Linked DNA regions of Macaca mulatta. The protein of the gene in region 1 interacts with the protein of each later gene in a pairwise test. Links are inferred from orthologs where the notes say so. Each region holds a gene or a part of one and is shown in the gene's direction. Other genes may lie near its edges.

The links.
Region 2: the proteins of FGFR1 (region 1) and GRB14 interact in a two-hybrid assay, tested with the Homo sapiens proteins (2 studies listed by BioGRID, with this or other methods). The link is inferred for Macaca mulatta from reciprocal best matches to the Homo sapiens genes FGFR1 and GRB14.

What each region holds. Positions count from the first base shown.
Region 1 is NC_133413.1:40,411,169-40,415,580, reverse strand, and holds the start of FGFR1 (fibroblast growth factor receptor 1 precursor), read left to right. Parts: upstream 1-1,551; 5' UTR 1,552-2,171; exon of another isoform or gene 2,172-2,968; intron 2,969-3,453; exon of another isoform or gene 3,454-3,579; intron 3,580-4,412. UniProt on the Homo sapiens protein: Tyrosine-protein kinase that acts as a cell-surface receptor for fibroblast growth factors and plays an essential role in the regulation of embryonic development, cell proliferation, differentiation and migration.
Region 2 is NC_133417.1:69,443,946-69,447,593, reverse strand, and holds part of GRB14 (growth factor receptor-bound protein 14), read left to right. Parts: intron 1-1,014; coding exon 1,015-1,152; intron 1,153-3,648. UniProt on the Homo sapiens protein: Adapter protein which modulates coupling of cell surface receptor kinases with specific signaling pathways. Binds to, and suppresses signals from, the activated insulin receptor (INSR). Potent inhibitor of insulin-stimulated MAPK3 phosphorylation.

The sequences.
Region 1 (4,412 bases):
CAACCTCCGCCTCCCGGGTTCAAGCGATTCCCCTGCCTCAGCCTCCCCAGTAGCTGGGATTACAGGCGAGCGCCACCATGCCTGGCTAATTTCTTTGTATTTTAGTAGAGGCGGGGTTTCACCTTGTTGGCAAGGATAGTCTTGATCTCCTGACCTCGTGATCCACCTGCCTCAGCTTCCCAAAGTGCTGCAATTACAGGTGTGAGCCACCGCCCCCCTCCCCCAACTCTTTTCTTAAATTAGCCAGGGAGGCGTGGGTGGGGTGGGTGAGGAGTTGGGTGGGGGTAACTCATTCAGTATTCAAACTTCTACAAGTTTTGGGGATGAGGTGAACAGGCCCTGCCACTAACTTACATAGTGACTTCTATTTGTGTAGTATTTTTGGTCCACGGAGAGCTATCATTTTATTTGATTCTTACGATCATCTTGTGAAGGAGTATCAACAGATACTGCTGTTTTGATTTTATCAGATACAAGATTTGTCGTACATCAAACTTCACAAATGATGGACAGAATGGAGGAATCCTTCAGACCTAGTGCTGCCTACTTCCCACCCCAACGGTGGCCTCAGCCTGGGCTTTCACATCACAGGCCCCACGGAGACTTGGAAAAAATACAGGCTTTTGGCTCCTTCTTGGGACAGCCTGATTCCTCATGTCTGAGCAGGCCCATGAATTTGTATTTTTCAGACGTTCCCTGGAGGACCCGTGTCCATCTGGATTAGGAAACCACTACATTATACCACCCCGCGGCAAGACTCAGGGGGAAGAATTTAGCCACTTTCCTGAGTTCCACAGTACTGGAGGGTGTTCTGAGTGGGCTGTGATTAATTTCCAAACCAACCACACCTCTCCCCTCAACTCCCACTTACTCTTTGCTTCCTAGACGTTCACTTCAGGCTGGAGACTTCTGAAGACCAACAACATTGCTGTAGAATTTACAGGGTCCAGTTCCCGGTGGAGCACAAAACCTAAATTATGTGGCTGGGGAAAGCGGAGATCCAATGGAAGGGTGTGAGGAGGGGCTGACCTTCTCATAATAAAACCAGCTTGTATTTACTAGGTGTTAACTATGCGCCAGGCCCTCGTTGACCTCTCGACTCTATACGAAAAAGCACTATTATCCCCCTTTCACAGATGGGAAAACCGAGATTTAGAACGCGAAAATCATTCCCCAAGGTGCACAGACTCCAAAGTCCACGCTACCAGGTACAATCTCAAGGCTGCGGCGTCTCTTCACCTGTCCCCCACACCCCCCCAAACTGCAGCTATGTCTAGGGCCTGACATTCCGGCGCCCTCTGGGACGCGCTCAGATGCAGGGGCGCAAGCGCCAAAGGAGACCAGGCTGCAGGAAGAGAAGGGCAGAGCGCCGGACAGCTCGGCCCGCTCGGCCGGCTCCCCCTCCTCTGGGGCCGCGGCTGGAGAACTACAAGGCCCAGCAGGCAGCGGCAGGGGGCGGAGGCGGAGGAGGGACCAGCGCCGGTGGGAGTGAGAGGGCGAGCCCTCGCGCCTCGCCGGCGCACAGCGCTCGGAGCGCTCCTTCGGCCACAGGCGCGGCGTCCTCGGCGGCGGGCGGCAGTGAGCGGGAGCCGGGACGCTGGTGCAGCCGTAGCGCGCGGAGGAACCCGGGCTGTGCCGGCAGCAGGGCCACGTCCGGACGGGACCGAGACTCCGCGTAGCGCATTGCGGCGACCTCGCCTTCCCCGGCCGCGAGCGCGCAGCTGCTCGAAAAGCCGCGGAACCCGAGGACTTTCTCCCGTCCGAGCTCGGGGCGCCCCACAGGGCGCACGGTACCCGTGCTGCAGTCGGGCACGCCGCGGCGCCGGGGCCTCCGCGGAACGATGGAGCCCGGTCTGCAAGGAGCGTGAGACGCCGCCGCCGCGGTCTGGAAAAGAGGGGCACAAGGTCTGGAGACCCCGGGCGGCGGACGGGAGCCCTCCCCCCGCCCCGCCTCCGGGGCATCAGCTCCGGCTCCATTGTTCCCGCCCGGGCTGGAGGCGCCGAGCACCGAGCGCCGCCGGGAGTCGAGCGCCGGCCGCGGAGCTCTCGCGACCCCGCCAGGACCCGAAAAGAGCCCGGGGGCGGCGGGCCGGAGCCGGGGACGCGGGCACACGCCCGCTCGCGCAAGCCACGGCGGACTTTCCCGAGGCGGAACCTCCACGCCGAGCGAGGTAAGAGTCGCGGCGCCCCCGGATCCGGGGCTGGCTTGGCGTCCCGAGCGGCCCCCGGCGCCGGAGCCTCCCGGCTGCGCGCTTTGCCCGCCGCAGCCCAGCCGGGACCGGCGCCTCCCTCCGCTCGCCGCCCGCCCCCTCCACCTCCCGGCTCCCTCCCGGGCGATCCGCGCCCCCCTTGGGTCTCTCCTCCCTTCCCTCCGCCCGCGTCTCCTTCTGCGCCCCCTCCCTACGCTCGTCCCGCCGCTCTTCCCGCTGCCCAACTTTTCCGCCAACTCGCGCTCGGGAGCTGGCGAGGCGGCGGCGGCTCCTCGGTGAGTCCTGGGAAGGACAGGCCCGGGGCGAAAGCGGCGAGGCCCGCGGTTTCCTGGACTGGGGAGGAGGGCGGGAGTGGGCGGCGAGGTGGGGTGCGTTGTGTGTGTGTTGTGTGTGTGTTGCATTCCACTCCATCTCTTTTTGGTCCCCTTTTGGGGATTCACCCCCAATTCAGCAGGTAGCTTTGGGCTCAACGCTAAAAATCCAGGACATTCCTCAGTCCTTTTCCATCCCCGCTAAACCTGGGGTCCGGGTTGTGGGCGAATGGAGTAGGGGATGAACTGCAGAGGACGTGGAGGGCTAGGTTAGCTTCTCTTGGAATAGGCTTTAAGGAGGTGTCGTCACCAAATGGCTGAATCTGCTTGAGCTGAGAGCGAAAAACGACTCCGCTTTCCAGAAGGGGTGATCTTATGACTTGGACGGTCTCTGAGAGGGTCGGAAGTTTGGGGAACGGGAGGACGACCCACAGTCGTTAAGCCGAGGTATGGGACGGGGGCGGGAGGGCCGTTCCGTCCCAATCTCGTTCCTGGAGGTGGGGGAAGGGATGAGGTTTTTGTCCGGTGCGGTTCACTCGGCAGCGATGCGTAGGCTTCTCTGGCCCAGACCCCTCTGCACCCCGCTTCCCCTCCCGTTATGTTTAGGGTTGGGAGAAAAGGGAGGCTACGACCCATGTTTGCAGAGGAATTTGTGGACCTTGTAGATGGGGTTCATATAGAACACACGCCCCCTATGAAGCAGCCAGACACTTTTTTGGTGGTGGTGGGGCGGGGGGTGTGAAGCGTGTTTCTTGTTCTGGTCCCAGAAGCTATCAACCCGTTTGAAAAACATTACCACGATGTCTTTCTCCCCCAGCCCTCCCCCACCCCCATTTTCCAGATGTAACAGCCGCATCTGGTTCCGTTTCACCCCACACGGGTACACCGCAGCCGCGTTATTAACTTCCCTCTTCCTCCCCTCCCCCTCCCCCAAATTGAAACTCGGATTCTTCAACTCGTCTTGACCACCTCCCTCCTTAACATTTCTGGAGACATGGAGATGCGGCGTTGAGAAAAGAAAGTTCCCTTGGATCCCGAGTTATCGAAGATCTCACTAAGTTAGTTGTTCGCCGCCGCTAGTGGGTGGCGGCGGTCGGGGTGCTTTCTGGATTGCGCAGAAAAGAGGCATCTTGGGAGATGGGTCCAAGGTTTTAGGGGGTGGCATTCGCGAACGGTTCATCCGCTAGACTAGGGGAGGCTCTTTGGCTGTGCGTCTGGCCAGAACTGGCCTTGACGATGGAAGTTTCTGGAACCAAAGCGTTGCTTTCTCTCCCTTGTGTTATAGCTGGAGCTGCGAGAGCGCCTGCCCTGCCCGGAGCCCGCGGTCCCCTCTCGGCCGCCCCTCGGTGGCGTCACGCGCCCCTCCCGGAGCGAGCCCGGTGCGCTGGGCCGGGGGCGTGGGCGACTGCTGCCAGAGGCGCTCCCTGTGTGTTTTTAAGGACTGATTTGGGACGCATCCCCCGGAAACTAAAGTGGGGCGTTTTACCATTTAAGTAACGGCTACAGGTTTGAAAGCGGGGGGTTGGATTGTCCAGTTGTGTTTGGTAATAGTCTTTGAGGCAGGAAAGCGCCTTGTGGTCCAAAGTTGCGGGAGGGTGGAGAGAGTCAGTCTCTCTCACCCTCTTCTTTCCAGCCTCTCTCAGATTGAAAACACTTCTCTGGTTTCCTTCTTTGGGCGGTAGTTTTGGAGGCTGTAATGAAATCGCACTTTCTCTAGACGTGGTAATTAAGGTGACTGTTTCCTCCGCAGATGTGCCCTACCCTTTGCACCTCCGGACCAGGGCTTTTTTTGGAATACTATCTAGCCTTGAGACTGTTTAGCAGAAAGTGGCCATTTTCCTCCCTTGGCCCGGGCTCCCGGTTTCCTCCCTGAGGCTTGTTTAAAAGCGAA
Region 2 (3,648 bases), on another chromosome or scaffold:
TTTTGACTGCGTGTCCTTTGACTCCTTGGTGTCTCTCTCTCTCTCCCATGTTTCCCCCCACTTTCTCTCTCTCTCTGTCTGTCTCATGGTGTCTCATCCTGCAGGGCTCTTCCAGTTGCATTGGGCTTCTTACCTGTGATGGTCTCAGGGTAGTCACATTTCTTATGTGACAGCTGGATTCCAAGGGCCAAGTCATGAAAAGCACCAGGCTAGTTAAGGACTACACCTAGAACTGGCAAAGGGTCCCTTCCACATATTGTATGGGTCAAAGCAATGACAGGCTTGCTCACATTCAAGAGAGTGGAGAAAGACTCCACCTTTTTGTGATTCAGTGACAAGATGACATTGCAGAAGAGCATGTGGAATGGAAGACATTGTTGCAGTCCTCTTTGGAAAACGTGACCTACCACATTCACCCACAGCTGAGAACCATAGATGACAAAGAAGAGATAGTTTTATTTGCTTTATCCTCCTCAAGGAGGTGAGCTTGGCTCAACTTCCTGCTTCCCAATTGAAGTCAGGATTGTGGTCTTACTTATAACATAATGAAGTTAATAGGTCAACCTGTAATCTCAGGGAAAACCACAGAAAACAATGAAAAGTATATCAGGACTTAACGCTGTAGATGACGTCCAACTTTTTGAATGGACATTCAATTAGCTGATAATTTTGGTAGTTAGATAACTACATACTATCACTTAGAATGTCTATTTTGTGAACTCATTTTCATTTGAAACATCTCAGGTTTTTAAAAGACTCTGATTTATTTTCTGTGTGTGTATGTGTGTGTGTATACACACACAGAGATAGAAAGAGAGAGAGAGAGAGAGAGAAGGAGAGAGAGAGACACCAAGGACTATCAAAACACACACACATAGTTAATTACCGTAATGTTACATGTTATGATCCTGTGTGATTTTTACATGTTTATATTTGAAATCTTAATATGATTAGTATAAGGTTACCATATCATTGATTTAATCATACTTTGAAAATATGTAAATTTTCTTTCAGATGTTTCTGAGTTCAAGCACATACCCTGAAATTCATGGTTTCTTACATGCGAAAGAACAGGGAAAGAAGTCTTGGAAAAAAATTTACTTTTTTCTAAGAAGATCTGGTTTATATTTTTCTACTAAAGGGACATCAAAGGTAAATTGAAGTATCCGTGATGTGTTATGAATGACATATTAAGCTGCAAGTTAAAACATATTTACTTTGTTGTATTTATTATTTTATTACTTGATGTTAAAGGTTGGTCTTTGATTTTTTTTATTTAAAACATTTGCCTTGATTATTTAAACACTACTCAGTTTTACTTCACACTGGTTTCAATGTACTATCTTTGATGGAATCTGGATACTCTTATTTCAGTAAAACATATGTTACTCCTTTGTGCTCACTCTGAATTCACTCCTTTCTCCTCATCCTTGGCTGCAGAGTTTGAAGCCTGATGTAGTGTATATCTTTTCTTTTTACCCCAGGTCATACTGCTGATCTTTTCTACTTCTGAAACTCTGTTGATCAACATCAACAGAACAGAACAGTTAATAATAGAACAGTTAATAAAATGTTTCATCTGAGTAATTTATTGCTCTTTTATTATTGATTGATGGATTTATTTCAAGAGGTTTGTAAGGAACAGGAAGTGTTTGATTACATGAGTAAGTTCTTTAGTGGTGATTTCTGAGAGTTTGTTGCACCCATCAACAGGCAGAGTACACTACTCATTGTATAGTCTTTTATCCTTCACCCCCATCCCACCTTTTCCCCGAGTCCCCAAAGTCCATTGTATCATTCTTATTCCTTTGCATTCTCATAGCTTAGCTCCCACTTATGGGTGAGAACATACGATTTTTGGTTTTACATTCCTGAGTTACTTCACGTGGAATAATGGTCTGCAGTTCCATCCAGGCAGCTAGGAATGCCATTATTTCATTCCTTTTTATGGTTCCATGGTCTGTCTATCTATCTATCTATCTATCTATCTATCTATCTATCTATCTATCTATCTCACAATTTCTTTATCCACTCGTTGATTGATGGGGATTTGAGCTGGTTCCATATTTTTGCAATTGTGAATTGTGCTGCTATAAACATGCATGTGCAAGTATCTTTTTCATATAATGACTTCCTCTGGGAAGATACCCGGTAGTGGGATTGCTGGATCAAAAGGTAGTTCTACTGTTAGTTCTTTAAGGAATCTCCACACTGTTTTCCAAAGTGGTTGTACTAGTTTACATTCCCACCAACAGCATGAAAGCATTCCCTTTTTACCACATCCACACCAACATCTACTGTTATTTGTTTTTTTTTTTGGTTATGGCCATTCTTGCAGAAGTAAGGTGGCATCACATTGTGATTTTGATTTGCATTCCCTTGATCATTAGTGATGTTGAGTATTTTTTTCATATGTTTGTTGACCATCTATATATCTTCTTTTGAGAGTTTTTATTGATGTCCCTAGCCTACTTTTTGATGGGATTGCTTTTTCTTGCTGATTTGTTTGAGTTCCTTGTAGATTCTGGATATTTGTCCTTTGTTAGATTTAGAAATTGCAAATATTTTCTCCTGCTCTGTGAGTTGTCTGTTTACTCTGTTGAGTGTTTCTTTTGCTGTGCAGAAGCTTTTCGTTTGATTAAATCCTATCTATTTATCTTTGTTTTTGTTTCATTTGATTTTGGGTTCTTAGTCAGGAAGTCTTTCCCTAAGCCAATATCTAGAAGGGTTTTCCTGATGTTATCTTCTAGAAACTTTTGTGGTTTCAGGTCTTAGATTTAAGTCTTTGATCCATCTTGAGTTGATTTTTGTATAAGGACAGAGATAAGGATCCACATTCATTCTTCTACATGTGACTTGCCAATTATCCCAGCACCATTTGTTGACTAGAGTGTCATTTTTCCCACTTTTTTTTTGTTTGTAAGTATCTGGCTTTATTTCTGTGTTATCTATCCTGTTCCATTCGTCTATGTGCCTATTTTTGTACCAGTACCTTGCTGTTTCAGTGACTATGGCCTTGTAGTATAGTCTGAAGTCAGATAATGTGATGCTTCCAGGTTTGCTCTTTTTGCTTCGTCTTGTTTTGGCTTTGCAGGCTCTTTTTTGGTTCCATGTAAATTTTAGGATTTTTTTTTTCTAGTTCTGTCAAGAATGATGATGGTATTTTGATAACAATTGCATTGAATTTACAGATTGCTTTTGGCAGTATGGTCATTTTCAAAATATTGATTCTATACATCCATGAGCATGGGATGTGTTTCCATTTGTTTGTGTCATCTATAACTTCTTTCAGCAATGTTTTGTAGTTTTCCTTGTAGAGTTCTTTCACCTTCTTGGTTAGGTATATCCTTAAGTATTTATTTTATTTTTTACAGCTATTGCAAAAGGGGTTGAGTTCTTGATTTGATTCTCAGCTTGGTCACTGTTGGTATATAACAGAGCTATTGATTTGTGCACATTAATTTTGTATCCTGAAGCTTTGCTTAATTCATTTATCAGTTCTAGAAGTTTTTGGGGGAGTCTTTAGGGTTTTCTAGGTATACAATCATATAATCTGTAAACAATGACAGTTTGACTTCTTCTTTACCAGTTTAGATGCCCTTTATTTCTTTTTCTTGTCTGATTGCTCTGGCTAGGACTTCCAGTACC